Linked DNA regions of Arabidopsis thaliana. The protein of the gene in region 3 purifies or fractionates together with the protein of the main gene of each other region. This does not show direct contact. Each region holds a gene or a part of one and is shown on either strand. Other genes may lie near its edges. The genes, in order: VTC4, AT3G02860 and AT1G26160.

Region 1 (10,513 bases), on a different chromosome or scaffold from region 3:
GTTTTTTCTTTCTCCTGTGAAGTAGGGTTATTAGTTAGTGGTTACCAACTTCACATTATAAAACTTCATATCTAATCAAATCGTGAAGTATTTGTCAGTCAATCGTGAGACGATATTCATGACCACTTTTGTCGTTGACTTTGTTTTTGGCTCAAAATTTTGGACGGCGATAAAAAATAAAACTCGTTGACATTGTTTTTTGGCTGAATCGTTGACTAGGATTCTGGGATAAGATGTGTAAAGAAGAAAACAAAAACCAATTTATTCACACGCAATCAACTATATATTTATACAAAAATTAGCAAAAGCAATAGTTTTATAGACATTTTTAAAACTTTGGAAATAAAGAAAAGTAGAAAGAAAGAAAAAAAGAAACTGATAGGTCTCATCTCAATTTGAGGCTCAAGAATTAACGAACAAACTAGAACAAGAACAAAGAAGAAGAAGTAGAAAAAAGGCGGGAAGTGGGGTCGACACTATTCAAGAAATTGCAACTTGACCCCAAACAATATTCAAATCAATCAATTTAGACCCCCAAAAAATCAGTCGGATACAGGATTTGGGGAGCCAGATGAATGAGAAACCTCCTCAATGAGTCTGGTGACTTCAGCCATCGAAGGACGACTATCTGGGAACTGAGCCGTACAGCTCATACCGATCTTCAATAAACGAATGATGTTCTCATTGCCCTCAGGTTGGTACCTTGTGAGCTCGGGATCAAGCACATCGGACGGTGTTTGTTGCTCGGTAACAGATTGGACCCATCTCGGCAAATCTACGCCTTCTTCATTCAACTGCTGATGCGTTGGAGACTTACCTGCAATGTAATGTTCCATGTTAAAACCTAGAAACCACAGCAATTGCAAAAAAAGCAGTTAAAAAGATATATCTATCCTTGATTGTTTGTTACCTGTGAGTAATTCAAGGATTAGGACGCCAAAGCTATAGACATCAGCTTTTTGGGATATTTTGCGAGCATCAGTGATTTCAGGGGCACGGTAGCCATCAATACGGTTAGGTGCAGATGTAGAACTAATGATGGGAGCAAGACCGTAATCAGAGACCTTAGCTTCATAGGAGTCAGATAATAGTATGTTCGAGGACTTAATGTTTCCATGAGAAGTTGTCCCATCACGCGAATGTAGGTAGCTAATCGCTCTTGCAGCTCCTAAGGCTATACCGGCTCTGGTTTCCCAGTTCAACGGAGTTCTCCCGTTTCCTTTGTTCCCTACAAATCCATTAAAAGAGCTTCAAAACCGAGCTTGAAGACACATAAGATAAACTAACTATGAAACAATTCAGTAATCAGTGTCAATTTTAGCCAAACCAGGTCCATCAAGATCACAAACTAGCATCAGCTAAACTAAGAACCCTAAAAATAAACAAATGCACAAATGGAGATTACTATTCTATACCGTGCAATATCGCAGACAAGCTTCCTTTAGACATGTACTCAAAGACAAGAAGCTTCTCGTCACGGCTGAAATAGTAAGCGATCAGAGTCACGAGATTGGCATGACTCATTGATCCCAAAACATGCAATCTCTCTCTGAACTCTTTCTCAGGCACCACAACATCTCTTAACCGTTTCACAGCCACCACTAACCCATGCTCAAAGCTTGCCTTATACGACGACCCAACTGTTCCTTTCCCAAGAACCTCAGCTGAAGCCTTCAACAATCCATCCAAATCGAATTCCCCGAAAGATTTCACGAAAAAGGTCAAATCTTTATTCACCGCACCACTCTCCGACCCCGTAGCCTTAGCCGGCGGGACAACAACCACCGTTTCCTTTGGTATAGCAGCGGAGGAAGTCGCAGCAGCGACAGGAGCTTCAACATTCCTAGATGGAACGTTCTCTTCTTTCTTTCTCTTTCTACAGAGACAGAACAGAATCAAAAGAAGCAGTAACAGACCAACAACACATCCGATCACAATCCCGACAATAGCTCCGGCGGATAACTTGTCGCTATCTTTCTTCTCCGGCGGCGTATTGGGTCCTCCAGCGTCACCACCATTGGGGCTCTCTGCCTCACAAGTGTCTAAAGGCTTCCCACAGAGAGTGTTACCTTCAAAAGCAGTTCGAGGCCAAGACGACAACGAACTCGGAATAGACCCGTTTAACTGATTAGAAGAAACATTGAATTGCTGAAGAGGAAGCGTGATCTCAGGGATCGGACCAGAGAGTTGATTCCTCTCCAAATACAGAGTAACCAACCGGGTCGCAGAATTGACATTATCCGGGATCCGACCCGAGAATTTATTCTCCCCTAGATTGATTCTGATTATGCTCGGAAGCGTGAAGAGAAGCGACGGAATCTCACCGGAAAAGGCATTACCTTGAAGATACAAGTAACGGAGGAGAACAAGGTTGGAGAAATCCGAAGGGATAGGACCAGAGAGAGAATTGAACCGGAGAGAAAGAGTCTTAAGCTGGGTTAGATTACCAATACCACCGATTGGTAAAGAACCGAATAAACCAGATCCGGGTAATCGGAGAGCCGTGACCCGACCCGCATCGCAGTGGACTCCGTGCCAATTACAAGGAGAAGAAGCACTCATGTTCCATAGCAAAGGACGGCCACGGACACTGTTACGAACAGCGAGTAAAGCTCTCCGGTCAGACTCTAGATCTGAAGTCACCGCAGCGAGATAGAAGACAAAGAGGAAGACAACAGAGAGACTTAGCTTACGCTTATACTTCATCTTCTTCTTCTTCTTCAAAAACCGTGTAAATTCTTCGTCTCCTTGGTTCCAAAAATTCAATAAATATATCGACTTTTTCGGATATGGGTTTTTGGAAAATTTATTTCGGCTACGCGTAAACGAGTGTTTGAACAAAGAGACTTTTGTGTTTTTTGGTTTACAAGAGTTTCAGCTCTGTCTTTCTTCTCTCTCTAGAGCCGGCTAAGAGAGAGAAAATGGTCATAATTGCAGAGAAAAAGGAAAAAAAGAAAAGTTACTAATTGGAATATTTCCTTTTTGACAAAAAAGTTAAAAGAGAATCTTATGTATTTAATTTGACAGCTAATTTACAGAAAGATAATTAATTAATTATAAGGTTATGACTTATGAATACTAGTTGTAACAATTTTATCAGAGTCAACTATATTTGCGTTACATAAATGACAATAAATCACTGCAGTAATGTTTTTTGTAGACGTTTAAACGACCTCTGTTTTTCCTTTCTTTTGTATTAGATCAATAAATTAGGTCTAATTAAAAAATTAATGGTCGTTATCGTTTTGTTTCTTTTATGTTTTTTTTTTTTGCAGGTTGAGTGTGACCAAAGACATGCCAGGTCTGTCAAATGTGTCTGAGCTACCGTTGACAAACAAAGATTAGCCTCTCCGACACCGTTTTTATTTCTGATATAAGTTTGTACCATAGACATTTTTTTTTTTTTTTTATGTATTTGTTGTATCAATTTGAAAGGAAGGTAATAGAAATGGTCAACAGAGAACTTAAGAAGTGGTATTCATTTTGAAGATTTCAATTGTTCAATTTTTAAAACTCTTACATCAAATTTATTTTAATAGAAGTGGTTGGTTTCTCGTGACTATTAACAAACATTCTTCCCAACCCGAAACCTAACCTCACCTAACTTTCAAGTTCAAATACAAATAGATGATGACTAATATAAGCTGATTTTCTCCCAACACCTTCTATAATTCACTCTTAACCTCTTCTTCATGGCTATGACCATGTTCGTCCAAATAAGAAACGGCCATAGCTGCGTGAAGAGCAGCCCCAACAGGAAGAGCTTCTTCATCAACAAAGAAGTAAGGCGAGTGAAGCGGCTTACCAGCGCCTAGCGTCTCATTCTTTACCCCCAGCACGAAAATCGCAGCCTTAGTCTTTTGAGTGAAGAAGCTGAAATCCTCTCCTCCCATTGTCACCGGGAAATCATGGAAGTTATTCTTTCCAATCATCGCTTCCGCTACTTTTTTACCGTGCTCGTATAAGCCCTCGTCGTTATTCATTACCGGGTGAAGCGACGGCTTTTTCTCTTCGAAGTTTACTTCTGCTTTGCATCGGTATACCGATGCTTGTGCCTCTGAAATCTGCATCATCATCAAGAAACATTTAAACAGGGTTAGGGACCTACATTATTCGAATAGTAGAACAAGATTGTATAGAAAAATGGTGTAAAAAACAATCTCTTTACCTCTTTGATCCGTCTTTGGATAAATAGAAGCCCATCGTTGCTTAAGCTTCTGAAAGTACCTCCAAATTTCGCACTCTGCGGTATTACGTTTTGAGCATGACCTCCTTCAATATATCCAACTGTAACCACCTGAGAAACATAAAAAAACCAATCTCCGCTGATTTCAGCCAAGATTCTGATTCATCAAACACCAATGCTTTGAAAGTGGAAAGCAAACTTACACCAGCTTCGAGTGGATCCAGTTCCCGCGAAACAATCTGTTGCAAGGCAACAACAGCGGAAGAAGCTGCAAGAACCGGGTCTTTAGAGAAGTGCGGTGTAGCTGCGTGGCTACCTTGACCGTGAACCGTGACTGTAAACAATCCTGCACCTGCAAGAACGGTCCCAGGCCTAGAACCAATACCACCTGATGGGATCGATGGAAAGACATGAACACTGAGTATCCCATCTAAGTCGTCTAGAATCTCGTCTTTTAGCATTTCATAAGCACCTGCATAACCTTCCTCGCCTGGTTGAAACACAAGTTTTACTGTCCCCTGTTGCAAAAAAATTGTGTTTTCGTTCAAAACCCTCATAAGATTCACCAAACTCTCATAAGACACACACACTAACAACTCTAGAAAACACACACACATAACAATTAGCAATCAAAGACATACACACACATATATCTAAGAATCTTAGAAAACACTAACCCACATCGAAATGAGTTTTAATTGCAGGGCACAGACAGAATCATTCAAAATTATACATATAAATTGAGTGAAAGAGAAAAAAGAGAGACCTTGATGAGGTGTTTTGTGGTTTGAAGAAGCTTAGCAGCACCAAGAAGCATAGCAACATGAGTATCATGACCACAAGCATGCATCTTTCCATCTACTTTACTTTTCGATTCCCATTCCACTAATTCCTTTTTTTGTCCCCATTTTTTCAAATTCATTAGTCAAACAAAGCAATCTAAAAATCAGAGTAAAAATCGGAACTTTGATTATTAGATTTCAAACCTGTAACGGAAGTGCGTCCATGTCGGCTCTAAGTCCGAAAACAGGTTTCGAACAGGATCCGATCCAAGCGACGACGCCAGTCTTCGCCACAGGATACTTATACTTCACTCCAAGCGAGTCAAGCTCGTCTCGAACGAGTTGACTCGTTTTGAACTCCTGAAACCCTGTCTCTGGGTTCTCATGAATCTTTCTCCTAATTCCTCTCATCCACTCGAAGAACTCAGGATCCTTGGCTGAATGAAGCATCCCGCGAGCGAGTGACTCGAGACCCGAACCAGAATCGTAGCTCCCAGCTGAAGACAGAGGAGGGAGAAAGAAGAAGGTAACGAAGATGACAAAGAAGCTCCCTGAGAAATCCATTCTGATTTCTTTTGTTTGTCGATGTAAACTGGCAAGTGTCAATGAAAGAAAGGACAACGGTGAATACGATGATGATGAAGGAGAAGGAGTTGGATCACCGATCCATTTTTAATATTTATATAGTACGTAATTTACACACGTTTTTGGAAACTCTTTTAATCGTTTTTAAATACGTATACGCCTCTAATGTGAAATTCATAATTTATGGTTGTAATGTGAAGAAAATAATGAAATACCAAAGATAAAATATGAAAATGATACAATGTAGTATATTTACGGTATAAAAGGAATATTTACTTGAAATGAATTAGTACGTTTAATACACGATTTTACCATTTATGTTAATGAAAATTAACACTTTTAAAATAAAACATGGCATGAATTAGAGTTGTGAGAATCACATGTAGGCCTTTAAGGTTCTTAAATTTTTAATTCCTTATAACATAGGCCCATGTATTTGATTGACATATAGGCCATTGGGTTCTTCGACTTTTAAATTACTTATAACAAAGGCCCACCTATTTGAAGCGCATTGTTAAACATTTTGTTTATATTTTGATTATGATCGAAAATTCTCTAGAACAATTCGTACAAAAGAAGCTGTTTACGAAAGTAGCTGTACATGCGAACATAATCAATAAAAATGTAAATGACTAATGAAACATCAGAATATCCGTACAAAATTGTGACTTTATATTATTTAGTTATAGGTACAAAGTTGTGGAGAGTAAAAAAATAAAAAAGGTAAAAAGTTGTGGAATAGACCTATGAAACAATCACAAACATACAACCAAAATGCAAATTGTAATTACGCAACAGAGGCTTTCTTTTCAAGGAAGTCAAGTGTAAGATTTGCAAATGCCCCAATTATTATTTGAGAGAAAAAGGGATATTGCTAATCACAATTAACGGTCACATTACAATTCCCTTTTTTCTCTGTTATTTCCTCTTCTTTCACAATTAAGTTCTTAACGGTCACATAAATATTTTGTTTTTTATATAATGAGTTTAATTAAGTTGAAGAATCAACTGATAAGGTTGATGATCCGATCCTCAAAAGTATACTAACCACAACACTGTCTACGTTCATGTTAGTACCTACTTCAAAGTCCATGTACGTTGGGACTGGCTGTATCTTCCGCCGAGAGCAGCAGAGAGCGTCATCGCTGTCTTGGAACGAGAGAAAGGTCGAGACTATCTCTAAGGCAACCAAAAGCTTAGCTATGATGAAGACATCTTTCTCTCTCTCTTTGCCTATGAATGGAGAATACAACAAATAATATAAAGTGATGGACATTTCTATGCTTTGCTTCTCTTCTCCAAAGAGAAATAGATGAAAAAGATTGTTGATTTTCGTTTCTCTCGAAGAAGAAGAAAGAAGAAGAAGGTGAATAGAGACTTTTGATTTCTCAAGAATGAACAAGTAGATTGTAGAGTGTTAGTGTTTAGTTCTGTTCTTAGGTTGCAGAGATTGTGTATGTGTGGCGTTTGATGTCTCGTGTTGGAGAGGTGGTCTCGTTTAGAGTGTTAGTGTTTAGTTCTGTTCTTCTGTTGATCTGTGTTTTTTTTAAATGTAAATTACACAAGTATGCAAAACAAATCTCTTCTCAGAAAGGGGCTACTGTTATATCATGAGATTTATAAGACAAAATGTAAAATATCGGAAAAATAAAACAACATAATTTTGGTGTTGAATGAGTTTTTCTTGTCCACACAACGGCAGAAGCAGTAGACGATTGTTCCTTTGTCTCTTGATCACAAACCGATTTCAAAGTGTTCTTCGCATTTTTCTCATCAATGTAAGTGAACCAGCCAGAGAAAGACAAGTATGCACCAATATCATTCCGGCCCCATATTCAGAATAAATTAGAACATCTTTTTCCTTCCGTGTTATGCACTTGTTCTAAAAAAAAAGAATTCCGGCCCATATTCAGAATAAGGAGTCCAGTCCAATAGTCTCAAGTCCAAACCCGACTCGGGTCTGTCCGACCCGGAAAAGAGAACTGATTACAGAATGCGGGTTTTGTCAAGAGAAAGTTGGATGATAAAATTGAGGTGAAATCTAATCTTCAAATGATCATTGGTTAGCTTTTTGTATAACGGATTTTCTGAAATCCTCTTATTTCCCATATCGGACCGTGATTATTGGGTGATTTCGGATGCCTAATTGGGTAATTAATATAATACAGTATAAGATTAGATGCCTCGAATATTCGCTCTGTGCCTAACCACAAAAACCGTAACTTTTGGTTTTCTCTGAAACACATCCCAAAGTAAAGAAAGCATCACTCTTTTCGTCTTCTCTCGAAAATGGCGGACAATGGTAAAGTCACGATCAATCTCTGCAAACCTTATTTGATTTCCCTGTTTCCTCATTTTCTTTCGGGCGACATTGATTTGACGCAGATTCTCTAGATCAGTTTTTGGCTGCCGCCATTGATGCCGCTAAAAAAGCTGGACAGGTCTATCTTTCGATCTCCTTGAGTTTTGATCGATATTTTGGCTAATCGTTATTTAATCTGGCTCCTTTTGGTTTGCGTTCTGCAGATCATTCGTAAAGGGTTTTACGAGACTAAACATGTTGAACACAAAGGCCAGGTTTTTGTTTCTTTCCTCCGCTCAGATAATGTTTCAATCACTCAATAAGTGGGAATGGCTACTTAAGAGTGTCAATTTTTTTTTTGAAATTATCTTCTATGGCTCCTTAAATTGTTGCTTTTAGGTGGATTTGGTGACAGAGACTGATAAAGGATGTGAAGAACTTGTGTTTAATCATCTCAAGCAGCTCTTTCCCAATCACAAGGTGGTGATTATTTCTTCTTTTGAATTCCCATTTTGTTGGCTTCTTCCTCGCGTTGATCATTAGAGTTTTGCTATAATTTATTAGTTCATAGGAGAAGAAACTACAGCTGCATTTGGTGTGACAGAACTAACTGACGAACCAACTTGGATTGTTGATCCTCTTGATGGAACAACCAATTTCGTTCACGGGTATTATCATTATTGATCAATTCCCATTTGAATGACCTGTGTGTTTCATTTGCCCATTTCATCAAAAACAAAAACAAATGCTGTTTTTTTTTTGTAGGTTCCCTTTCGTGTGTGTTTCCATTGGACTTACGATTGGAAAAGTCCCTGTTGTTGGAGTTGTTTATAATCCTATTATGGAAGAGGTAAAAGATTGTGTATTCCATTGTTTCAAGTTTCTTCGATCGTTACAACTTACCATTATACATAGTTTCCTTGATGGTGCTCTGTACATGCATGTTTCAAGATTTTTCTCAATTCTTACATAATATCTAATGATCAAACAGCTATTCACCGGTGTCCAAGGGAAAGGAGCATTCTTGAATGGAAAGCGAATCAAAGGTTAGCACTTGTTCTAGAGACCTAATAAAAAATTTCTTGATCTCTTTTTATGGCATCCGGAGTATAGCTATCACTTGTTCAGAGACTTGAGTTCTCTTCCTTCTTTTCAACTCAAACAATGTTCTTTTTGCAGTGTCAGCTCAAAGCGAACTTTTAACCGCTTTGCTCGTGACAGAGGTAAAAATCTGGCTCCTTTGTGTTAGACTACTAAAACTAGATTGCTATGAAGCCTCCTCTCATCGCTAATGTGACCAATTGAATATAGGCGGGTACTAAACGAGATAAAGCTACATTAGACGATACAACCAACAGAATCAACAGTTTGCTAACCAAGGTAAAAGTTTATCGATAGATATTTGGAACTCCACCAATTTGGTTCTAGTCTCTGCCAAAACTCATGATTGTTGTGTCCTTCATTCATCAGGTCAGGTCCCTTAGGATGAGTGGTTCGTGTGCACTGGACCTCTGTGGCGTTGCGTGTGGAAGGGTTGATATCTTCTACGAGCTCGGTTTCGGTGGTCCATGGTAAATTGTCTTCTTTTTTTTTTCCTTGCTTGGATTAAAAAAGGGGATTTCTTTCTTGTACAAACAAAATTAGATCCTGATGATGGCATAATAATATCAAATCTTTCACAGGGACATTGCAGCAGGAATTGTTATCGTGAAAGAAGCTGGTGGACTCATCTTTGATCCGTAAGAGTTTGAGATTAAACCAAACACACTCACTCTCAAACCGTCCAACTGATTATAACTAACTGTTTTATGTCGTCTTTGTTCATCAGATCCGGTAAAGATTTGGACATAACATCGCAGAGGATCGCGGCTTCAAACGCTTCTCTCAAGGAGTTATTCGCTGAGGCGTTGCGGCTTACAGGGGCATGAAGTCATCTGTTATTATTTTACAATATGGTCTCAACCTTATATGATCAAACTCAATTCAAAAACTTAACATTATTGAATATTTCTTTTCGGTAGAAAGAAAACAAACTCAATTGTTGAGAAAAAAAAAAAACTATTTTCTTTCTGCTACCCTTTGTGAATTCAATTAAAAAAAAATCATATGTTTGGTATTGAATGATATAATTCTGTTCTTCCATGTAGTTGATCTTTGTAATCGAGTTTGCATTTTTTTTTTTTTTATAAAAGGTGGAGTTTAAGGTATTTTGTGATCCATACTAAATTAACAACAGAGGAAAATGGGGATAATGAGTCCGGCCCAGTTACGACTAACGACCCAGAAGCATCCCGAAAGTCTCAAGTCTAATCCCGAGTTGGATCGACCCGACCCGTAAAAGAGAAGAGATTGCGGAGAAGAACGGAGGGAGGAATTTTGATTCTCACGGTGACTGTTGTCCTCCTCTAAGGACTTAGGGTTTGATTTGAATAGAACAAATTTCTCAGATCTTCGTATTCCTTGCGAGGTTGTGATAATTTGGGAGTTGCGTGGGTTGCTACGAAGGAGAGTGATGGATGCTCAAGCGAAGAAGAAGGCCATGTTCCGGTCTAAACTCAACGCCAAGAAGAAAGACACCCGCATAGATTCTCCTCTCGTTAGGTAAACCGTTGTTAGCTTCTTCTTCTCTTCGTTTCGATGTCACTTCTGGGTTTCTAC
Region 2 (10,174 bases), on a different chromosome or scaffold from region 3:
GGGACACGAACAAGAAGTGTTTGGTCCAAAACGGAAGCGTTTTGGCTTTGTCTTCTTGTTTTGAAAGATTCGCGGCGGCGCGTGATGGACACATGCGTTTATTGGAGGAAATCTTGTTTGTTCTATCATCTTGGTTGCCTCTGAATCGATCAGAAGGTTTCAACAAGATGGGATCAACGGCTTCTCTTAACTGTCTCGTACGGTTCTTGAACGGTAAGGACGCTAAAACGAGACAAAACGCTGCGTTTTGCATCAGAGAGGTTATTGCAGTAGACAAGAGGTATGTGTACGCGTTAACAGATGTGGAAGGAGCTTGTGAAGGATTAGTTAAGATCATCAGAGACTCTGTTTCGACTAGCTCCACGAAAGCATCTTTAATGGTGATTTATAGAGCGATTTCTTCTAACGACAAGATCACTGAAAAATTTGTGAAACTGGGTTTGGTTGAGTTGATCACAGAGATGATGGTGAACAATGCCGAAAAGAGCGTTTGCGAGAGATCTCTAGTTGTTTTAAACGCTACATGCGATAACGAGCAAGGCAAAGAAGATGTTCTTAGAAACGCTTTGATCGTTCCTCTTCTGGTGAAGAAGATTCTTAGAGTTTCGGATCTCGCGACACAATGTTCGGTTTCGATACTTTGGAAGCTATGGAAGAATAAGAAAGACGGAGAATGTGATGATCGTTTGTTAGTTGAAGCTCTTCAAGTTGGTGCCTTTGAGAAACTCTTAGTGCTCTTACAAGTCGGGTGCGAGGATAAGACGAAGGAGAAAGCGAGCGAGCTCTTGCGGAATTTAAACCGTTGTAGAAACGAGATCGAGAAGACAAATTGTGTCGATTCTTCAATGCATTTGAAGAATGTGAAGAAATCATTTTAGTCAAACAAACAAAACACACTATTATTCTTTGTAATTACTCTGTTTCTAAATAAACTGATTTTTTGAAATTTGCTCGAATCATTATGTTTCAACAGCCAAATACAGTTTTTGTCCATCACTTATCAAATCTACATCAATAATTTTGGCTTCATCTTCAGATAATACACAAGAAGCCTCCGGAACATTCAGCTGCTCCTTTGCTGTTCTTATAAGCTCCTCGATGCTTCGAGGTACCCACAGTACAATCCCGCGCCTTCTTTTCTCTTTCGAATCACCAGGATGTGAAAAATACACTGTACATTTCTTCTTATAGACTTTATCTGCAGATTATTCGAATAAACAAACCGCTTGTTAAAGTTTCTATCTAAAAAAACATCGGTACTTTGACTTATATGCCGATAAAACTACCTTTAGGCTCTTTGGAGCCACTCGGAAACGAAGAGATTTGAGAATTCTTAGCGTCTTCGAGTAACTTTATCAACATCTTGTTCCCACAACCCAAAGCTTCATCAAGAGGTGTGTTTCCCCATCTAATTACAAAAAAAACTGTTAGCAACCGCGAAAACAAACCGCTCTTTATTTGGTTAAAAAAGAAGTTACCTGTCTTTTGCAAGAACATTAGCACTTGCTTCTACCAATTGGATCGCCAAGACATAAAATCCTTCAGAGGCAGCTACATGAAGAGGTGTTCTGTGATCATAATCTTTGGAATTAGGATCAATTCCGTTACTAAGAAGCCGTTTCAAGAAATCGCTGTCTCCTTTCGCAACCACGGTGCAAAGGAAAGTCCCTGCGTTCTCTATGTTCAACGTAGCTCCTTCTTTAACAAGCAACGCCGCAACACGATCATTCCCATTCTTGATTGCTTCTAGTAAAGGTGTGCTCCCCAATTTATCTTTGATATTTACATCAACTGATTCTTGTATAAGATATAATGTAATATCTTCATATCCTCTAGAGGCTGCAAGATGCTGTTAACAACAAAAATATGTTAATAGATATCTTCCAATGTTGGATTTAAGAAACCGAGAAGCTGTAGAAGCATACCAAAGGCGATCTTCCGTCATAATCTGTCTTATTCGGGTCACCTCCAGCTCGAATCAAACTCTTAAGCTGATAAAGATCACCGTAGAAAGCCGCACTATTCAACTTCAGAGCTAGCTCTGCCTCTTGTTTACTGATATGAAAGGTTATATCGGATTCTAGTTGCTTAATCCGGACATTAGATTCTTTCCCTTCAAGCAGATTGTTGAGAATCCTCCGTCCATCATGGAAAAATATCTCGAGTATGTTCATGAAAGATTGCTTGTCAAGCCTTAGAATCCGACATAGCTCTGCAACTCTAACCGTGTAAGGCTGAGGAATATTGCAGAGGATTGAAATCTCTCCAAAAGAATGATCTGGTTGTAGAACTGCCACTATTTCTTCAGATCCATCCTTTGTTATACCTATCTCCTCCTGATTGAAATCACAAGAAGTTTGGTTTAGTAACTGAGATTTTTTAGTCATTCCTAACATTTATTGACGAAAACACAGATATTTTGTTTACCAATACACCGTGACAAACAAAGTAGAGCTGATCAACGACGCTTCCTTGCTCCATTATAACTTCTCCAGGAAGAAAGAACTCTTCATGAAGTCTTATAACCTGTAATAAAAGCAAAAGTGTGCTCTTTAGTTACCTGAAGAAAGAAAGTAATTTTCAAAAAAATCAAAAGGCTTACAATCTGGTTAATGAATTCAGATGAGCATCCGCGAAAGAGAGGAACTTTCTCAATATACGGCAAGTATAAAGTTTGCGCAATCTGCAGTAACAACATAAGTTTACATTTGTTCATCATCTGAATCTGAACAAGCATCTCTGAAGCACTCATCATACCTTAGCACGGATAGAGACAGGAATGTCTTGAAGAACAGCTGCTTCAGTGTAGCTGCTTTCGTACTGCAACCGCAAATGTCCGGTAATCTGACCACGGATGTTCCTACCGAGTTTGTTTCGGTTCATATACCGCATGATATCAGCCATCTTATCCCGGAATCTCTCTGTTTTCGAACCTTTTACAATCAAAGCTGTCATGTTACCAATCAAGTAAGCTCCTAGAATCATATCGAATGAAATGTAGACCATCGCGAATATCATTTCCCGCATATTAACCGCGTGTATATCTCCATAACCTGCATTATAAGAAACATACCAAGTTAAGGAATGAAAGCAAACGATATATTCACCAAGTTTTCAGTTATCAGAACTTACCAACAGTTGCCATAGTAACAACTGCAAAGTACATAGAAGTAGTGTATCGAGTCCAGAGATCGATCTCTCTAAACTTCGAGTAACTGTAATCTCCTAACTTCAAGCTTCCAATCCAAGTGTACCCTTCTTGAGAAGCAGGAAGCGTCGTGGCCAAGTAATAGAAGATACAAGCTGCGGTGTGAGTGCAATAAAGCTCGACGAATATAAGCTTGACGATTCTTGTAAAAAGGTAATTGATTCTTATATCTTTCTCCATTTTGTGGAAAAACAGGATTACTCTATGAACTCGATATAGCCTTATCAACAATAGGTATCTCACTTCTTCTTTTTCGCCTGCAGCCTGTTTTCAAATTCACAGTTTCAAATTCTCCGTTTCCCGCAAAATCAAAAGAGTAAAAAGTGTATACCTTGTAGATGATATCCCATGGCATGCAAGCAAGTAAGTCAATTATAAAAGTTGATTTTAAGTACCTACAAAATTGACAAACACCATGAAGAGGTTAATCTCATTGAGTAGATAGCAAGAAAACAGAAACAGAGTAGAGTTTGAATACCGTAAAGCAATTGAGCTGCGTTTATAGATCATTCTATAAGTTCGGCTATCACGATAAGCAACGAAGAATGTCAAGACAATATCTACTAAGAAAGCGATTTGGCCAGCGATATCGAGGATGAACAGATTCTCTGGTAATCCCCTGAAGAATCCGAATTCCAATGGAGTGAAGAAGGAAGAATAAAGTGCCCATATCAATATAAACATCGTCCACGCCTTGTACCACCTGCAAATTCAAGAATCTTTAGATCCGGACAGAGTATTTAGTAGCTAAACTAAACTCACTACTTAGTCTACTTCTATTATTGCTCCAAACTTCAGCGAAACAGAGTTTTCTTCTTTAATCTGGTCTGACGTGTACAGACTCATGGTTGTTACATTTTTAACCAACGATCATTTGTAACCATTGAGAAACTGATACGTGTCATAAAGTGGCGGGAAATGAATGAATAACCGAAGAAAATGTTATTACACTAAAAAGGAAGGTTAAATCCACAATCAAGCCCCTAATGTTTTTGTTTGCACTACAATTGACCCCGAAAGTTGTTAAGCTAACAAATTTCCTTCAAAATTTCTCTAATAAAAGTAGTACGTAGCTTCAAAATATATAGGAAGATTGATTTCTATAAGATTTAGTCTCAGTATAAAGAAAAAAAGAAATTAATCAATACCTACCCTAAAATCCATATAACAAAGTAAGTGGACTAGAATAATACAAAATAAAACATAAGGCCTACTTATGAAACTATTAAAAGTTAAAGGACTCAGAAAACAAAATTCAAAAGCGTGACGAGAATTTATGGTGTACCGGTTATCGGGATGAACAATGGAGCCTCTGGAGATATCTCTGATTCCATTAATGACGGTGAACTTTCCACCGCTACCGCCGGCGAAGTCTAACCCTAAGAAATTGGTGAGAGGATTGAATCTGTTTCCTCGCGATTCTACAATCCCATCTCTGAAATCATCAACCTCGTAATCCTCTAATTCCACGTCTGATTCGCCGCCGCTACGATAAGAAACTCCGCCGCCGCTACTACCTCCCATTACACCTCCGAATCACGATACCAGATAATCGGATATTTGACGAAGAAGACAACCTCTCTGTTTTTCTCTCTCTTTCTCTTTCTCTCTCTTTCTCTCTTATTTCCTTTTTGTGATTTTCAGTTATATGCCTAAAATTGGCGCCTGTGTTTTCAAATTTCGAAACTTATCAGATAGAGAAAAAAATAGCAACTCAAGTTAATTCGATGAACAACACCATGGAATCGGCGAAATTTATACACAAATTTTCGGTTTTTTTTTGTTAGTGCTGTTGTTTATTTTTTACATTAAAAGTTCAAATTGTGATTCAAAAAGCCCATGCTATATTAATATTTTTATGGTCATAATAAAAGATAACGTAGTGTAAAAGAATAATAATATGTTTTAAAAAATAAGGTGAACCAGTGAGATATGGGTTTATTTTTAGAATGACCTATGAAGAGCACCATATAAATGATAAGAGAGTCTTTTATAACCACAAGATAAACAATAAGTCATTACGTGTTACGTACATGTGATAAGGTATCGTGATGTGATAAAGTTCGAGGAAGTCACTTTTTCGATCATTTTATTCGTAAATGTTTCTTTCTTTCTAATGCTAAACGATTTCTCCTTTATCACGTTTAAACATGCATAAGAGATTAGAGATCATAAGATTAAACACTTGTGATTGTGTGTGGTATTTTACAAGATATCGTTTGGTTATGTAGGTCGAAGCCGATGTGTGTGTGCGTGTGTGTGTTTTGTCACTCTTTTTTTCCTAAAATTCACATGAAGACGATGAATTCGAAAAATGGTATTTTATCTAAAACAAATTTGGAAAAACCAAGTTGGGATACAAGTGTTATGATGGATAGACTCTAAACTGAAATGTCCCTAAACTTTGATTCCCGTTGTGAAACACTTTACCATTAGAAAATTCACGTGACAATTTATATGATTAGTCAAGCTAGATAATGTTAAGGTATTATAGGAGATTGAGTGCATTCAGTTAGGTCAGAAGTAATTAGTTAACTAATTTTATGTTCTAATGGGATATTTGTTATATCATCGATTGTGCATTAACCGACCTTTGCTTTGGCTGTTCTCTCTCTCTTTGTTTTGTGGACTCCTTTTCAAGTTATAAACAAGATAACATAACCCTTTTTTTTTTGGTTATGCATATATCTTGATTTAAATATTTCAAATGTCAATGGTTTATAGTGGAAAGCCTAATGCATTTTTTTTATAAGTTATATAAGCATATGGTTGGTAATCACAAATAGTCCAAAAATTCACAAAAAAATATGAATATGTTTAGTTAGTGGTCTTCTTCCTTCTTCAATACTTGACCCCTAATTAGTTTCTCGACATATTTGACCCCTAATTGGTTTCTGGAATTGTCTCAATTATTTATTATTCCACATGTATTTGTTTAACAATAATAAGAGTTTTAACTTTAAAGATGATTGTTAAATTTACCACTTTCGTCATTATGTTTTGTGCCACCAAATGATCAATATCTGAAACATTCTCACTCAAAACTAGAATGATACGACCACCAGTCATAATCACTTTTTTTTTTTTAGTTTATCACCTGAAACTGGTCGGAACTGCCACAGTTTCAGGTTTCATCCCCAGATATTTCGGCCTTTTTGGCAACTCTGGTTATGAAAATTACGTTCTTGAATTATACCCATTAACCGATAACTATACCTCAAATACCAATTGATCCTCTGAAACTGATAATTGTATATATATGAGATTGATTAGTTTTCACTGTATATTCTCATAGAACATTGTATGTTTTACCAGGGTACAGATTTTTAAACAGTCTTTTCTAGTTTATTCAAAGATGTTGAGCTCTCCAATCAACAGCAGAATCCTCGTCATCCTCCTCATCGCTGGGCGATTCTTCTTCTGTCTTCTTCGGCTTTTTAACAGACCCCTCAGAGGTTTTACTGCGCTTCGCTAATCTTGCCGCTTTAAGTTCCATTTTCTTCCTCTTCAGAATCTCTACTTTCTCTTTGTATGATCTGCAGAATAAGATTAAAAGGAGAAGCCAAGTGTTTACTTAATCTTAAACAAGTCTCAACATTTCCATCTTCTTGCTATAACAAAGTAATGAATCAAATTACCTTTGCTCTCGTTGTTCCTCCTCTTCTATAGTTTCCGCAGCATCAACCTGACAATTAGAGTGCGAGAAAAGCGATTTTAAGTTTAAGAAAGAGCTTATGATACTGTCAGCAATTTATCATAGTGACAGAAAGTTATCTGACCTCTTCTTCTTCCATGCGGCTATCCACTACCTGCAAATCATCTTGTATCAACTTCTCAAATTCTTTATATTCATCCCTGTAAGAAGATCCATGTTTATATAAGTTCACGAAGAGAATTCTTAGGTACAAACCCATAAGATCATATGAACCATTCAAATTGAGAATGTAGGAAAGTAACTGGATCACAAGGTCCACAACAATGAGGTTTCACTTTGATTTTCTGCATCTGGAAAAGTAAAAGCAACAAAAAAAAAAAGAGAAGAAACTCACTTGATATCTGGTTTGACGAGCTTGATTCCATGGGCAAGCAGGTCAGCTTCTTTATTATCAAAAAAACCGGTTGGAAGGTTTCCATTCACCATTGGTTTTGTTTCTGGACCAGTGGTCTGTGTCTGACTCTGTTTAGGTTCACTGGTGGTTTTGGTATTTGAAGAATCAGTTTTCTGATTATCAAAGAATCCGGCTGGAAGAGGTCCCTTTGACTTATTTGTTTCAGATCCTATAGTGTGCTTTGATTGCTCTAAATTCTTGGATTTTGCTGGTTCTACTTCTGCTGCACATATATTTGATCAATAAGTTTTTTTTTTCGATTGACGAATGAAACTATCATCAATCTTTCAAAAAACCTAAGACTAGAGCCTTTAAGCATGGCATCCACATAACTAGCACCTAAACCAAAAGCCTTCTACTAAGAAAATTATTCGAAAAAGATAAGAACAAGAAGAGGAAAGTGCATTAGTCATTACCTCTAGCAGGCTCACGATTTTCGAAGAAATTTGGCGGAAGACCAGATGATGTCTGAGAATTGGATGATTTAGCCAAAGCTTCAATTTTCGTTGGCCGAGTTTCAGCAGGTTTGCTACCCCGTTGGACTCCCGCTGCACTAGCCTTGAGACTATCAATGGCCTGTCCAAACGTTACATTACGAAAGCTAAGTTAATAAGATTAAAGAACATAAAACAGAGAATCTAACGCATAAAATCATATAAGAGCATGAAATCTACCTATCTTCAATGTATGTAATTTATCAAATATCCCATTGTTGTTACTCAGGTTATAAGAGATTGTGAAGTAAAGCTTATGGAGCAGAAGACACTAAGTTTACCTCGTGGTGCTTACGAGAAGCTTGATGTACATCCCAGAGTGATTCAGATTTCAAGACGACATTGCAAACTCGACACACAGGCTGGTCTGATTCGTTGTACCTACAAATCCAAAGAACAAACTCTTCATCCCAACTACAGCTCAAGCCCAATCCCCAGAACCCACAAATATTTGGAATTGTAGAAACCCAGAAGTGACATCGAAACGAAGAGAAGAAGAAGCTAACAACGGTTTACCTAACGAGAGGAGAATCTATGCGGGTGTCTTTCTTCTTGGCGTTGAGTTTAGACCGGAACATGGCCTTCTTCTTCGCTTGAGCATCCATCACTCTCCTTCGTAGCAACCCACGCAACTCCCAAATTATCACAACCTCGCAAGGAATACGAAGATCTGAGAAATTTGTTCTATTCAAATCAAACCCTAAGTCCTTAGAGGAGGACAACAGTCACCGTGAGAATCAAAATTCCTCCCTCCGTTCTTCTCCGCAATCTCTTCTCTTTTACGGGTCGGGTCGATCCAACTCGGGATTAGACTTGAGACTTTCGGGATGCTTCTGGGTCGTTAGTCGTAACTGGGCCGGACTCATTATCCCCATTTTCCTCTGTTGTTAATTTAGTATGGATCACAAAATACCTTAAACTCCACCTTTTATAAAAAAAAAAAAAATGCAAACTCGATTACAAAGATCAACTACATGGAAGAACAGAATTATATCATTCAATACCAAACATATGATTTTTTTTTAATTGAATTCACAAAGGGTAGCAGAAAGAAAATAGTTTTTTTTTTTTCTCAACAATTGAGTTTGTTTTCTTTCTACCGAAAAGAAATATTCAATAATGTTAAGTTTTTGAATTGAGTTTGATCATATAAGGTTGAGACCATATTGTAAAATAATAACAGATGACTTCATGCCCCTGTAAGCCGCAACGCCTCAGCGAATAACTCCTTGAGAGAAGCGTTTGAAGCCGCGATCCTCTGCGATGTTATGTCCAAATCTTTACCGGATCTGATGAACAAAGACGACATAAAACAGTTAGTTATAATCAGTTGGACGGTTTGAGAGTGAGTGTGTTTGGTTTAATCTCAAACTCTTACGGATCAAAGATGAGTCCACCAGCTTCTTTCACGATAACAATTCCTGCTGCAATGTCCCTGTGAAAGATTTGATATTATTATGCCATCATCAGGATCTAATTTTGTTTGTACAAGAAAGAAATCCCCTTTTTTAATCCAAGCAAGGAAAAAAAAAAGAAGACAATTTACCATGGACCACCGAAACCGAGCTCGTAGAAGATATCAACCCTTCCACACGCAACGCCACAGAGGTCCAGTGCACACGAACCACTCATCCTAAGGGACCTGACCTGATGAATGAAGGACACAACAATCATGAGTTTTGGCAGAGACTAGAACCAAATTGGTGGAGTTCCAAATATCTATCGATAAACTTTTACCTTGGTTAGCAAACTGTTGATTCTGTTGGTTGTATCGTCTAATGTAGCTTTATCTCGTTTAGTACCCGCCTATATTCAATTGGTCACATTAGCGATGAGAGGAGGCTTCATAGCAATCTAGTTTTAGTAGTCTAACACAAAGGAGCCAGATTTTTACCTCTGTCACGAGCAAAGCGGTTAAAAGTTCGCTTTGAGCTGACACTGCAAAAAGAACATTGTTTGAGTTGAAAAGAAGGAAGAGAACTCAAGTCTCTGAACAAGTGATAGCTATACTCCGGATGCCATAAAAAGAGATCAAGAAATTTTTTATTAGGTCTCTAGAACAAGTGCTAACCTTTGATTCGCTTTCCATTCAAGAATGCTCCTTTCCCTTGGACACCGGTGAATAGCTGTTTGATCATTAGATATTATGTAAGAATTGAGAAAAATCTTGAAACATGCATGTACAGAGCACCATCAAGGAAACTATGTATAATGGTAAGTTGTAACGATCGAAGAAACTTGAAACAATGGAATACACAATCTTTTACCTCTTCCATAATAGGATTATAAACAACTCCAACAACAGGGACTTTTCCAATCGTAAGTCCAATGGAAACACACACGAAAGGGAACCTACAAAAAAA
Region 3 (10,996 bases):
ATGGAAGATACTGGAATTGGTAGGTATTGTAAGATTTACTGCTCCAACATTACTTCTCATTTGGTATTCAAACTGTTGTACATAACTGGAGCCTTTATTTAACAGGGTATCATGAATGTCCTTTCCTTTATGCCCGCATATTTACAGCCGTTGCTAAGTTCTCTTCTGTGGTAATATTTTTATTTTGTTTTCTCCCTAAATAACTCTAATCAGGAAGACATGAATTGAATCTTTTTCACTTTAATCAGATCAACGCGGGAATCCTTGAGCACTTCCTCAATGCTGCAGTTAGAGCTATAACCATGGACGTGTATGTTTTCTACCCTTCTGCAATTCTGCTGTTTAGTATCTTTCAGAGATTAAAGTTAGATACTATTATAAAACAGGCCACCACCTGTAAAAGTAGGCGCATGTCGGGCACTTTTGCAGCTCCTACCCGATATGAACAGTTCGGTTATTCTGCCTCAGATCATGAATTTATTCTCATCTCTCACTGATCTTCTCCGTCAGGTAATTTTTCTACTGAGTGCCTTTTAGCATACAACATGCGTCTATTTTACTTTTGTGTCACTCGAGATTTATATTCTTTTATTCAGGCTACAGATGAAACTTTGGTTTTGGTACTTGAAACTCTTCAACAAGCAATTAAAGCTGGTAAGTATACATATTTTTACTCTTTGCAAAAAACTTTCAGAATCTAGTTATGCAGTAGTTCCCACCTATATCTTATTTTCTTTATCATCTGCTAGGCCATGAAGCATCAGCTTCAATAGAGTCGATTATCTCTCCAGTGATTCTTAATGTGTGGGTGGCACATATTTCAGATCCCTTTATGAGTATCGATGTAATTGACGTCCTGGAGGTAATTAAAGTGAATGTGGTTATCATTCATTTTGTTGTTAGAAATGCAATTTGCCTAGTTTGTTTATGCTAACACTTAGCACTGCTTATATCATTCTTAACTGAACAATAAAAAATACTTTGTTTGCGGCTAATTTCTTTCCTATGGCTGTCACACAGGCAATAAAGAATTCGCCTGGCTGCCTTCATCCATTGACATCAAGGATTTTACCATTCATTGGACCAATTTTAAATAAGGTGCTGTGCGGAATCATTATTTCAAGCTTGTGTTTCCTCTAGTTTTACTATCTTTCTTCCCTGGTTTCCTTTTAATGACATCTCGGTGGTGAATGGTGAGAATCAGCCACATCAGCAGCCTGAAGGACTAGCGAGTGGATCCTTGGATCTTTTAACTATGCTTCTTAAGGCAAGTTATACTAGCTAGATTTTCGTAGTACGCAATTATTTTTTATGCTAAATGGACAGTATTTGTGTTTTGCTGACTATTTTTCTAGTCATATATAGGGTGCCCCAAGTGATATAGTGAAAACTGCATATGACTTTTGCTTTGCTGCTGTCATTCGTATCGTACTCCACAGTGAGGATCATGGTGAACTACAGGTGATAAAATATTCCATTTCTAGTTTGCTTCACCTTTATATCGACGAAGGTCACTTATCACTAGCCTTTTAATTGGTCAGAATGCTACAGAATGCCTGGCAGCTTTTATATCTAGTGGTAGACAAGAGTTGCTCACATGGAGTGGTGATCCCGGTTTTACTATGAGAAGTTTGCTTGATGCGACTTCTAGGTATAGTTCTTCACTTACTTTTTCGATTAGTTTATTTCACGTCCACCAAAAGCTGAGGCCTACTGTTTTTTGTTTTCTTTTTGCATTTATTAATATGTTGCCAACACTTGCGCATGCAAATTCAGTTGATTTTTGCGTATACGTGAGTAAATCTATGCACCATAAAAAATAGTCTGAATCACCTGCAATTGTTCTGCTTTTTAGAGCCTTCTGTGACATATCTACATTTCTTGGAATCATTTGGTTTGTTTGTTCCTCAATGTTTTCCAATTGGTATCTTTTGAAGGGTACATCTTGTCTTTCTTTACAAAGTCGATTTCTCAATGTTCGTGCAGGCTTCTCAACCCTGATCTGGAAGGTTCAGGATCTCTCTTTGCTGGGAAGTACATTCTGCAGCTTATCTTGCATCTTCCGTCAGAGATGGCACCCCATGTCCAGGATCTGGTTGCTGCTCTTGTAAGACGGTTGCAGTCTGCTGAAATTTTGGCTTTAAAAGGCTCATTGCTACTGATTTTTGCCAGATTGGTAATCTTCACCTTTCAGTTGGATAGTTTTAGTATATTAATGGTTCCTATCTTCTTTGTAAGGTGCTGTCAAGGCTCCAAAAGTTCACAAAAATTTTTTATCAGTCCTGCGCTGTAACCATTGATTTTTGCAGGTTCATATGAGTTATCCGAATGTCGATCAGTTTATCAATCTGCTTGTTAGCATACCCGCTGATGGCCATGAAAATTCCTTTACATATGTTATGACAGAATGGACTAAACAACAAGGCAAGCATCTATATCCGTGTTGTCTAGTTGTATAACTCTATTTGTATAACGTATGCGGTAAGGGTTTTTCTGGCTATTTCAACTTATTGTTGGTTAAGCATCTATTTTCAGGGGAGATACAATCCGCATATCAAATCAAAGTCACAACTTCAGCTCTGGCCTTGCTACTGTCCACTAGACATTCTGAATTTGCGAAGGTCAATGTCCCAGGCAGTCCAATTCAGGTCTTATGCTGTACCCATCTTTTTTTGTTTTTTCTTAAAACGCAGTTTATTCTCAGCCTTACAGAAACTTGAGTTAATTTCTGGTATAGTCCAATGGTGGCATAACTACTCGCTCAAAAGCTAGATCTGCTCCTGAACAATGGACCATTATCCCTCTACCCATGAAGGTATGTTATTGGTTGATTCCTTGATTCCTTGATCTAAATGTTCTCAATGTACAAGATGCAAGTCGGAATATGTATTCGTTGGGGATATATACAGTTCTATCCTGTATCTAAATGTTCTTAATCAGTCATATCCTCCTTTCTTTTCATCATTCTGGTGTATGCTTTCAGAAACTTTACATTCTTTGGCTCTGCAGATACTGGCTTTACTAGCTGATACATTGATTGAAATTCAAGAGCAAGTTTTGAGTAATGAAGACGAGGTGATTATAGTTCCTTGAGCTTCTTTATTTCCTTTCCCATCGTTGAATTGAGTGGAACTTGAGATGGCTAATTCTGTTCTCCGGAGTAGCAGGATAGCGAATGGGAAGAAGTGCATGAAGGAGACGCTAAAGCTGAGAAAGACTTGCTACGTTCAGCTGGTACCTCCCAATTCAGCAAACCCACATATGACCAACTTGAAGCAATGGCTCGTTTTGAGGTCCTTTTTTCTCTTTTACCTACATGGCTACTATACCATTGAACCTTATCTTATCAGAGTTACCGATTGATTTGACAGAACCAAGACGATGAGGTTGATGACCACCTACTTGGTACCGACCCCCTTAATGAGGTGAACTCTTGTGTTCTACATAAGTGTTGTATCTGCTCCTAATTCTCCAACTCGTGATCTGTTTCACCAACTCTCTTTATCTCTGAAACAAACAGATTAATCTGGCAAGTTATGTGGCTGATTTTTTGTTGAAGTTTTCGAGTGAAGATCGGCCTCTTTTTGATAATCTTTGCCAGGTTTGGTTTCTATTCTCTTATAACCTATCAACATCATGAAACTTAATATGAACCACTCGGCTTGTTTTCAAATATCTGTAGGGCTTAACAAATGCGCAAAGAAACGTGATCCATATGGCACTGAACCGCTAGGCTTGGCCCGTTATAATCCACAACTCTTGGCTTGAGTGTTGTTTTTTGTCAGTTGATTGATTTTTGGGGAGTAAAGAAATGGTAGCATCCCTTTTGTAAAAGTGTAGTTTTACACAAGGTACTCTATTAAAATATATCTTTGCAACTTTAAAGACTGAAGAAAATCCCTCTAGTCTCATGTTAAACTTTACAGTAAACATCGTAGAATTACTAAACATCTAGTAATGAAACAAATACTAAAGGCCGACGGATTAATAATATCCATCTTAGCCAAACAAATATAATTTATGAACTTCATATTTTTCGTACGTTACGGTGAACGAGATTCGTGTAGTCGTTAGTACATTGAAGAAAAGCTAGTAGCCTATAATATTGGTCGCAAAGATTGATGTGGGGGAATTAAATCCTTCTAATTGTCCATATATTTATAGCCCGTGGGAGTAATTGGGCTGGGCTCTTAGTTGCTGATGTAAACGGGTAAGAAAAACCCGACCCGACACCGAGCAACCAGCTCCTCAAAGGAAAAGCAAAAACACTGAAACAAACAAAATCAAGTTCTACTTTTTTTTGTTTGCATAGAATCGAGATCATCTATGGCGGTGATTAGTCCAGCTACACGTTTCGCACCGCCGCTGAACCGGCCTTTTCACCGCCGATCAATACTTGCCTCGTTTCATTCTTCCTCTAGGAACTTCCTCTTCCTCGGAAAACCCACTCCGAGCTCGACGATCGTTTCCGTCCGGTGCCAGAAACCTGTTTCCGACGGGGTTAGCTCTATGGAATCCATGAATCACGTTGCATCTTCAGTTTCGTCTTCGATCGATTTCCTAACGTTGTGTCATCGTCTCAAGGTATGTGTTGAACCATATAGACTACTACCGATTCCGAAATCAAAACAATGGATTGAGTTAACAACACTTGAGAGTGGCTCTCAATTTTTGAATTGGAGATCTGCATAGTTATATTCATTGGTCAACATTGTCAAGTAGTGAACTTTTCCTTCTTGTGTAGACAACAAAGAGAAAAGGGTGGATTAATCAGGGGATAAATGGACCTGAATCAATTGCTGATCATATGTACCGTATGGCTCTAATGGCACTTATAGCTGGTGATCTTACTGGAGTTGACAGAGAAAGGTTCGGTTTTGCCTCAAAATGTTTTTCCTTTATTTAGATGATAGAGAAAGGCTACTGTATATTGATTGTACAATGCATTTTGGAAGGCCTGGTGTATACATATGATTTGTTTAGGTTTTTGATAAACGAGCTTGTAGAGCTCCGTGAGGGCTGATGTATGTACGTTTCTCTTCCTAAAGTGATTGGTTCTATCAGAATGCGGGTATCTAAGGAGAAACCGATAGATCGTTGATGGGCTAGTTAGTTATTGTGCACTTTATCTTCTAGAGAAGTGGCATATTCTGGAACTCAGGATGTAGTGAAAATGTTCCTGGAGTTGAATGAAATATATGAGCAGCTAGTCAGAATTACAAAACATGTGCTCTTAAAGATTTAGGTATGATTTGAATCAGACACGTTCAGAAAGTTGAATGAAGGATAAGATAGGGAGACCATCCGTGAACAATTGATTTTTAAGTGTGAATTCCTTGTTTTCTGGCTATTGCTTACTGGATTTTTCTGTCTTCCTTTTTTCTTGGCATCTTAAACAGGTGTATAAAAATGGCAATTGTGCATGATATCGCTGAAGGTAAATAAACATTTGATCCTACTTTTCAATTGTGAGGTTCACTATATTTCCTATATTCACTAGTTAGTTAAGTTTCATTCAAAAAATACTGGGTGGTTTGGAGGATACAAACTTGTATAGATTTATACCCTGAGTAGGGTAGTATATGTAATAGATACACTTGGATTCGTATATGAAAATTTAATTTGCTGTGGAGATGGAACTAAACATGTGTTGAGAGCTGATTACTTTGGTTTCTTTCTCTCAATTCATATATACTCTTCTTCTGCAACTTAACGCGTAGAAATTTTCAAAGCCTCACCACTTTACTGGCTTCCGAATAGCTATTGTTGGAGATATTACCCCATCTGATGGTGTGCCTAAGGAAGAAAAGAGTAGGAGGGAGACAGCAGCTTTAAAAGAAATGTGTGAGGTTCTTGGTGGAGGCCTCAGAGGTATATACGCCTTTGCCACTGTCATCTTCTATTGTTTTGGTTTCCAAAACACTTATTTATAAGCCTAATGTCAACGTGCAGCGGAGGAGATCACAGAACTTTGGCTGGAGTATGAGAACAATGCTTCTTTAGAAGCAAATATTGTAAAAGACTTTGATAAGGTGGTTAATGGGTTTCGAGTTTGCAACAATCGATGGCGTTAATTCCTGTTTCCTGTTAAGAGTCAAAACTTACTCAACACAAGGGTTACACTGACTCTCGTCTCTATTACTGTTTTAGGTTGAGATGATTCTCCAGGCGCTAGAATATGAAGCTGGTAAGTCTCAATCTTAAACTTTGTAATCGCATGTGCTTGTTGTTCCTCTCCCATCACAAGAAATCTCACTTGACGTTTGAACATCATTGCAGAACACGGGAAAGTGCTCGACGAGTTTTTCATATCAACAGCAGGTAGAGAACCCATCTCATACACTCTCTTTGCTTTACAGTTTTAAACGTGAAATCATTTGGTTTCATCAATTTCAAATGCAGGCAAGTTTCAAACAGAAATTGGAAAAAGCTGGGCTGCTGAGATCAACGCTAGGAGAAAAAGCCAATTGACAAACAGGCAGAGATAGTAAAATCCAGTTGCATCATACCTTCAATCTTCCTCAACTATCAACAGTAGAATCTCGGAAACTAAGCAGACTCCTCATGAACCAAAAGGTACAAGCTTCTAGTGAAATTTTCAGTTTTGTAGTTCAACGAACACAAAGTCCTTGTTTTTTTAACTTCCCCTTTTGGTTACTAGTTGAAGTAGAAAATGCTTTTTTTTTTGAGAAAAGTGATCAAAGTTTCTTATGAAAATCTGAAGTTCGAGGTTCCTAATATGATTATGTTGTAGTCACAACCCAATTGAAACATATCACACACTCTTGTAGTTGTTAATGTTTATCATAAATGATATATATGCATTTCTCTGACCCCACTTTAACGCGTGTGCATTGTCATTGTCACTGTTAATATTGAAATCAATGTTAGAACTTAGAAGAGAGAGTCAACAGCTACAGAATCTTGATACCAAATGTTGTCACGTGTATTATTACTTACATTCCTTCCTCTTCTTCGGCAATGATTATGCGTGCAATTTCCTTTTCACACAGACTGGTTTTGTTAACAAAGATAATGAAGAGCATATAAGATATGTATTTTAATCAACCGACACAAGTTTTTGCATAGCAAGATCCTCTCCACTAGCCCCAACTTTGTGAAGATAGAGAGTGACAAATTAAAATTACAAGAAAAAAGGTGGTGGTAATTGAAAATGAAAAACAAAGAACATAAAAAGTCAAGACTGAATAATTAAAAATGGGTTCCACAGTGCCACTGCCTATTTGTTTGTTGCTCTTTTTCTTGTTTTATCGGCATGTAAGTGATGGTCCCAAAGTTGTCAATATATCCCTTTCACAGAATTTAATATCCACCAACGAGTGAACTATTATTTTTCTATTATACATAACATTTTTTCTGGACCAAACGTACCATATGTTATGCACACTAGATATTCCAATTGTTAACTATTTACCCCATACCACAAATGATACTTTTTTCACTTGCATTATCTTTTGTTTTCTTTCGTTGTTTATGTCAATGTATTACGTAGCAAGCTTAGTCGAAATATCACACGTTATTGGTTGAAAGTTATGTGATTTTTACGATTGCCATAGTATTTGAGATTTGGTAAAGAAGCTGTATAATCACTATACTACTAAACAAAACAAAAAAAACTAGATTTGCATATCGAAATCGCCAGTTACCATTTTCACCAATGATATCGTAAGGTGTTCGTGTTTTTTTAATTGGCAAAATAAGAAAAAACTAGTATTAATTTTGACCATTGATTTTGACTTTGAAGGAAAGCATTCTTTTTCCTTTTATGATGCATAAATTTGTCTTGAGTACTTCCCTTGTAGATTTTTCTTATTTGCCTAGCGCTTGTTTGTTTGATGATGCGCACAATATCTTTTTTCCAAATTTTTGGTTTTTTCTTTAACAGCTTTACACAAGTTTGAACCTTCAGAAACCATTTTTGCTCAATCTCATAGACAGAGAGAGACAATTTACTTAGCTAGGTTCTAATAGCTCACTGTAGAGTTGGGTTTTGACTAGCAGAGGAAATTTTTGGTGAAGTGTGTGGTCTCGAAGGAAAAGCTCTTTATACAGATCCGAACAAGTTTGCATTTTTGTCATCTAATCAGATAATCTCGCTTATCTGGAATTTGCATTATTGGTGATCTGGGTTTTATCTGTTTAGTGTTGAAGCCTGTTGTCCGAGTATTTAGGGTTCAAATTATAGTACAGTGTTGAGTGATGTGTGGTTTTTAGTTGGTGCTTGGAGGTTACTGTCATACTCAAGTCTGGGAATTTTTGTTTCTTTTTTGTTTAATAATTTCTCTTAGTAAAGTAAGTGACGGTGTTTGTTCAATTTCAGTTTTTGATCAGAAGAGTGTTGGTGAAGAAGATGTTAGAATCTGGTCTTGGGATTTAGATGACTACACCTGCACAGGCTCCTAGGGAGGAGGTGTCACTGTCTCCATCATTGGCGTCCCCTCCACTAATGGCGTTGCCTCCACCGCAGCCTTCGTTTCCCGGTGATAATGCCACTTCCCCAACTAGAGAGCCCACTAATGGCAATCCACCAGAGACCACAAACACCCCAGCTCAGTCTTCTCCTCCTCCTGAGACTCCACTATCATCACCACCACCAGAACCTTCTCCCCCATCACCTTCACTAACTGGACCTCCTCCGACGACGATTCCAGTATCTCCTCCACCAGAACCTTCTCCCCCACCACCTTTACCAACTGAAGCTCCTCCTCCAGCGAATCCAGTATCATCACCTCCACCAGAATCTTCTCCCCCGCCACCTCCACCAACTGAAGCTCCTCCTACTACTCCTATTACATCACCCAGCCCGCCAACAAATCCACCACCACCACCGGAAAGCCCTCCTTCACTACCTGCACCAGACCCTCCAAGCAATCCACTTCCACCACCTAAGTTAGTCCCACCATCACATTCACCTCCACGTCATTTACCTTCCCCGCCAGCCTCAGAAATTCCTCCTCCTCCACGTCATTTACCTTCCCCACCAGCCTCAGAACGTCCTTCAACTCCTCCATCAGATTCAGAACATCCTTCTCCTCCTCCTCCAGGGCATCCAAAACGTCGTGAGCAACCTCCTCCACCGGGTTCTAAACGTCCTACTCCATCACCTCCTTCTCCAAGTGACTCAAAACGTCCTGTGCATCCTTCACCTCCTTCTCCACCAGAGGAAACTCTCCCACCTCCCAAGCCAAGTCCAGATCCCTTACCTTCTAATTCGTCTTCACCACCAACATTGCTTCCACCATCGTCAGTTGTATCCCCGCCTTCGCCTCCTCGAAAATCTGTGTCAGGTCCTGATAATCCATCTCCAAACAACCCCACTCCTGTGACAGATAATTCCAGCAGTTCTGGTATTAGTATAGCGGCTGTTGTGGGTGTAAGTATTGGAGTGGCCCTTGTGCTGCTTACTCTCATTGGAGTTGTTGTCTGTTGCTTAAAGAAACGGAAAAAGAGGCTCTCAACCATTGGTGGTGGCTATGTTATGCCAACACCTATGGAATCCTCCTCCCCAAGATCAGGTAATCTTAATCTCGTCTACTTTTATAAGGCAGTTAGTCTTTGCCATCCTTAAATGTCTTGGCAAGCATGGCAGAAAGAAGTCTCCTTGTATAATTGATTGTTTGAATCTTATTAAGACATGTTACTTTAAACTGAAGAGTTCATAGTTATTCAGAGATTAAGATAGTTTGTGTCAAGAGTTCATAAGTATGGATATTGCTATGTATATTTTGATTATCATCAGTATTTCTGGATTTTCATCTCCATATCTTTGTTATTATACAGATTCAGCGCTTCTGAAGACGCAGTCATCCGCACCTCTAGTGGGAAATCGTTCTAGCAATCGTACATACTTATCACAATCAGAGCCTGGTGGTTTTGGTCAATCGAGGGAACTGTTCTCATATGAAGAACTTGTCATAGCAACAAATGGATTCTCTGATGAAAATCTCTTGGGTGAAGGTGGATTTGGTCGTGTGTATAAAGGAGTTTTACCAGATGAAAGAGTGGTTGCTGTGAAACAATTAAAAATAGGTGGAGGACAAGGTGACCGAGAGTTCAAAGCCGAGGTTGATACCATAAGCAGGGTACATCACCGGAATTTGCTTTCTATGGTTGGATACTGCATTTCCGAGAACCGGAGATTGCTTATTTATGATTATGTCCCTAACAACAACCTTTACTTCCATCTTCACGGTAAGTAAGATTTCTAGACATAAAAGCACAAACCCAAACCACATTTACTTATTACTATCTTTCCATGGTCTTTAGCCGCAGGAACTCCGGGTCTAGACTGGGCAACACGTGTTAAAATTGCTGCTGGTGCGGCTCGTGGACTAGCTTATCTCCATGAAGATTGTAGGTTGCTACAACTCTTCAAAAATTTATGGATAAAAGAATCAAATTCTTTATGTTATTCTTTTGGTTCTTGGGGACTACATATTATTTGATGAATGATTTTAATGGTAAAACATTTACAGGTCACCCTCGTATCATACATAGGGACATCAAATCATCCAACATTCTCTTAGAAAATAACTTCCATGCCCTGGTATACATTCATCTGCTCTTCTGAATTTGCAAAGCTGCTGATTAATTAAAAATCATGGGTTCTAACACTGGTTAGAATCTTATTCGTAGGTTTCTGACTTCGGCCTTGCAAAGCTAGCTCTCGACTGTAACACACATATTACAACTCGGGTCATGGGAACATTCGGGTAGGTGCTGGTTAAGGTCCCATATGACATTGCTCATGAGCAAAACTTCTTTCTGTATATGTTCCATCTTATAAACGATTGGTAAATGTTTTCAGCTACATGGCTCCGGAATATGCATCAAGTGGCAAATTAACCGAGAAATCAGACGTATTCTCCTTTGGGGTTGTTCTACTGGAGTTAATCACTGGACGTAAGCCTGTGGATGCATCCCAACCTCTGGGAGATGAGAGCCTTGTTGAATGGGTATGGTATAAATAAGCATT

Evidence for each region.
Region 1: the proteins of AT1G26160 (region 3) and VTC4 fractionate together in Arabidopsis thaliana (co-fractionation; one large-scale study listed by BioGRID). This does not show direct contact.
Region 2: the proteins of AT1G26160 (region 3) and AT3G02860 fractionate together in Arabidopsis thaliana (co-fractionation; one large-scale study listed by BioGRID). This does not show direct contact.

The regions. Positions count from the first base shown.
Region 1 is NC_003074.8:627,012-637,524, reverse strand, and holds VTC4 (Inositol monophosphatase family protein), read left to right. Parts: upstream 1-7,599; 5' UTR 7,600-7,842; coding exon 7,843-7,855; intron 7,856-7,938; coding exon 7,939-7,994; intron 7,995-8,079; coding exon 8,080-8,130; intron 8,131-8,254; coding exon 8,255-8,335; intron 8,336-8,419; coding exon 8,420-8,523; intron 8,524-8,620; coding exon 8,621-8,705; intron 8,706-8,846; coding exon 8,847-8,901; intron 8,902-9,034; coding exon 9,035-9,078; intron 9,079-9,166; coding exon 9,167-9,235; intron 9,236-9,325; coding exon 9,326-9,426; intron 9,427-9,537; coding exon 9,538-9,594; intron 9,595-9,683; coding exon 9,684-9,783; 3' UTR 9,784-10,013; downstream 10,014-10,513. Other genes in the region: AT3G02880 (Leucine-rich repeat protein kinase family protein), read right to left, coding at 543-817, 911-1,228, 1,416-2,706; ILR1 (Peptidase M20/M25/M40 family protein), read right to left, coding at 3,666-4,064, 4,169-4,297, 4,390-4,704, 4,953-5,078, 5,173-5,532; AT3G02860 (zinc ion binding protein), read left to right, coding at 10,368-10,456.
Region 2 is NC_003074.8:618,742-628,915, forward strand, and holds AT3G02860 (zinc ion binding protein), read right to left. Parts: upstream 8,627-10,174; 5' UTR 8,417-8,626; coding exon 8,328-8,416; intron 8,193-8,327; coding exon 8,093-8,192; intron 7,894-8,092; coding exon 7,734-7,893; intron 7,541-7,733; coding exon 7,258-7,540; intron 7,064-7,257; coding exon 6,988-7,063; intron 6,894-6,987; coding exon 6,847-6,893; intron 6,745-6,846; coding exon 6,558-6,744; 3' UTR 6,422-6,557; downstream 1-6,421. Other genes in the region: AT3G02840 (ARM repeat superfamily protein), read left to right, coding at 1-878; SKOR (STELAR K+ outward rectifier), read right to left, coding at 960-1,198, 1,287-1,408, 1,479-1,849, 1,926-2,336, 2,428-2,526, 2,603-2,683, 2,758-3,053, 3,133-3,472 and 3 more; VTC4 (Inositol monophosphatase family protein), read right to left, coding at 9,001-9,100, 9,190-9,246, 9,358-9,458, 9,549-9,617, 9,706-9,749, 9,883-9,937, 10,079-10,163. UniProt on the Arabidopsis thaliana protein: Essential for breaking seed dormancy before seed germination. Prevents reactive oxygen species (ROS) accumulation in response to abscisic acid (ABA) and oxidative stress, probably by repressing the accumulation of ABA-induced ROS-scavenging enzymes (e.g.
Region 3 is NC_003070.9:9,040,276-9,051,271, reverse strand, and holds AT1G26160 (Metal-dependent phosphohydrolase), read left to right. Parts: upstream 1-4,222; 5' UTR 4,223-4,326; coding exon 4,327-4,584; intron 4,585-4,744; coding exon 4,745-4,869; intron 4,870-5,399; coding exon 5,400-5,437; intron 5,438-5,760; coding exon 5,761-5,871; intron 5,872-5,952; coding exon 5,953-6,032; coding exon of another isoform or gene 6,033-6,074; exon of another isoform or gene 6,075-6,150; coding exon 6,151-6,187; intron 6,188-6,279; coding exon 6,280-6,321; intron 6,322-6,402; coding exon 6,403-6,488; 3' UTR 6,489-6,850; downstream 6,851-10,996. Other genes in the region: AT1G26170 (ARM repeat superfamily protein), read left to right, coding at 1-19, 106-170, 249-310, 387-510, 597-654, 750-862, 1,021-1,098, 1,205-1,267 and 11 more; PERK10 (proline-rich extensin-like receptor kinase 10), read left to right, coding at 8,399-9,536, 9,802-10,212, 10,288-10,374, 10,497-10,567, 10,657-10,733, 10,829-10,976.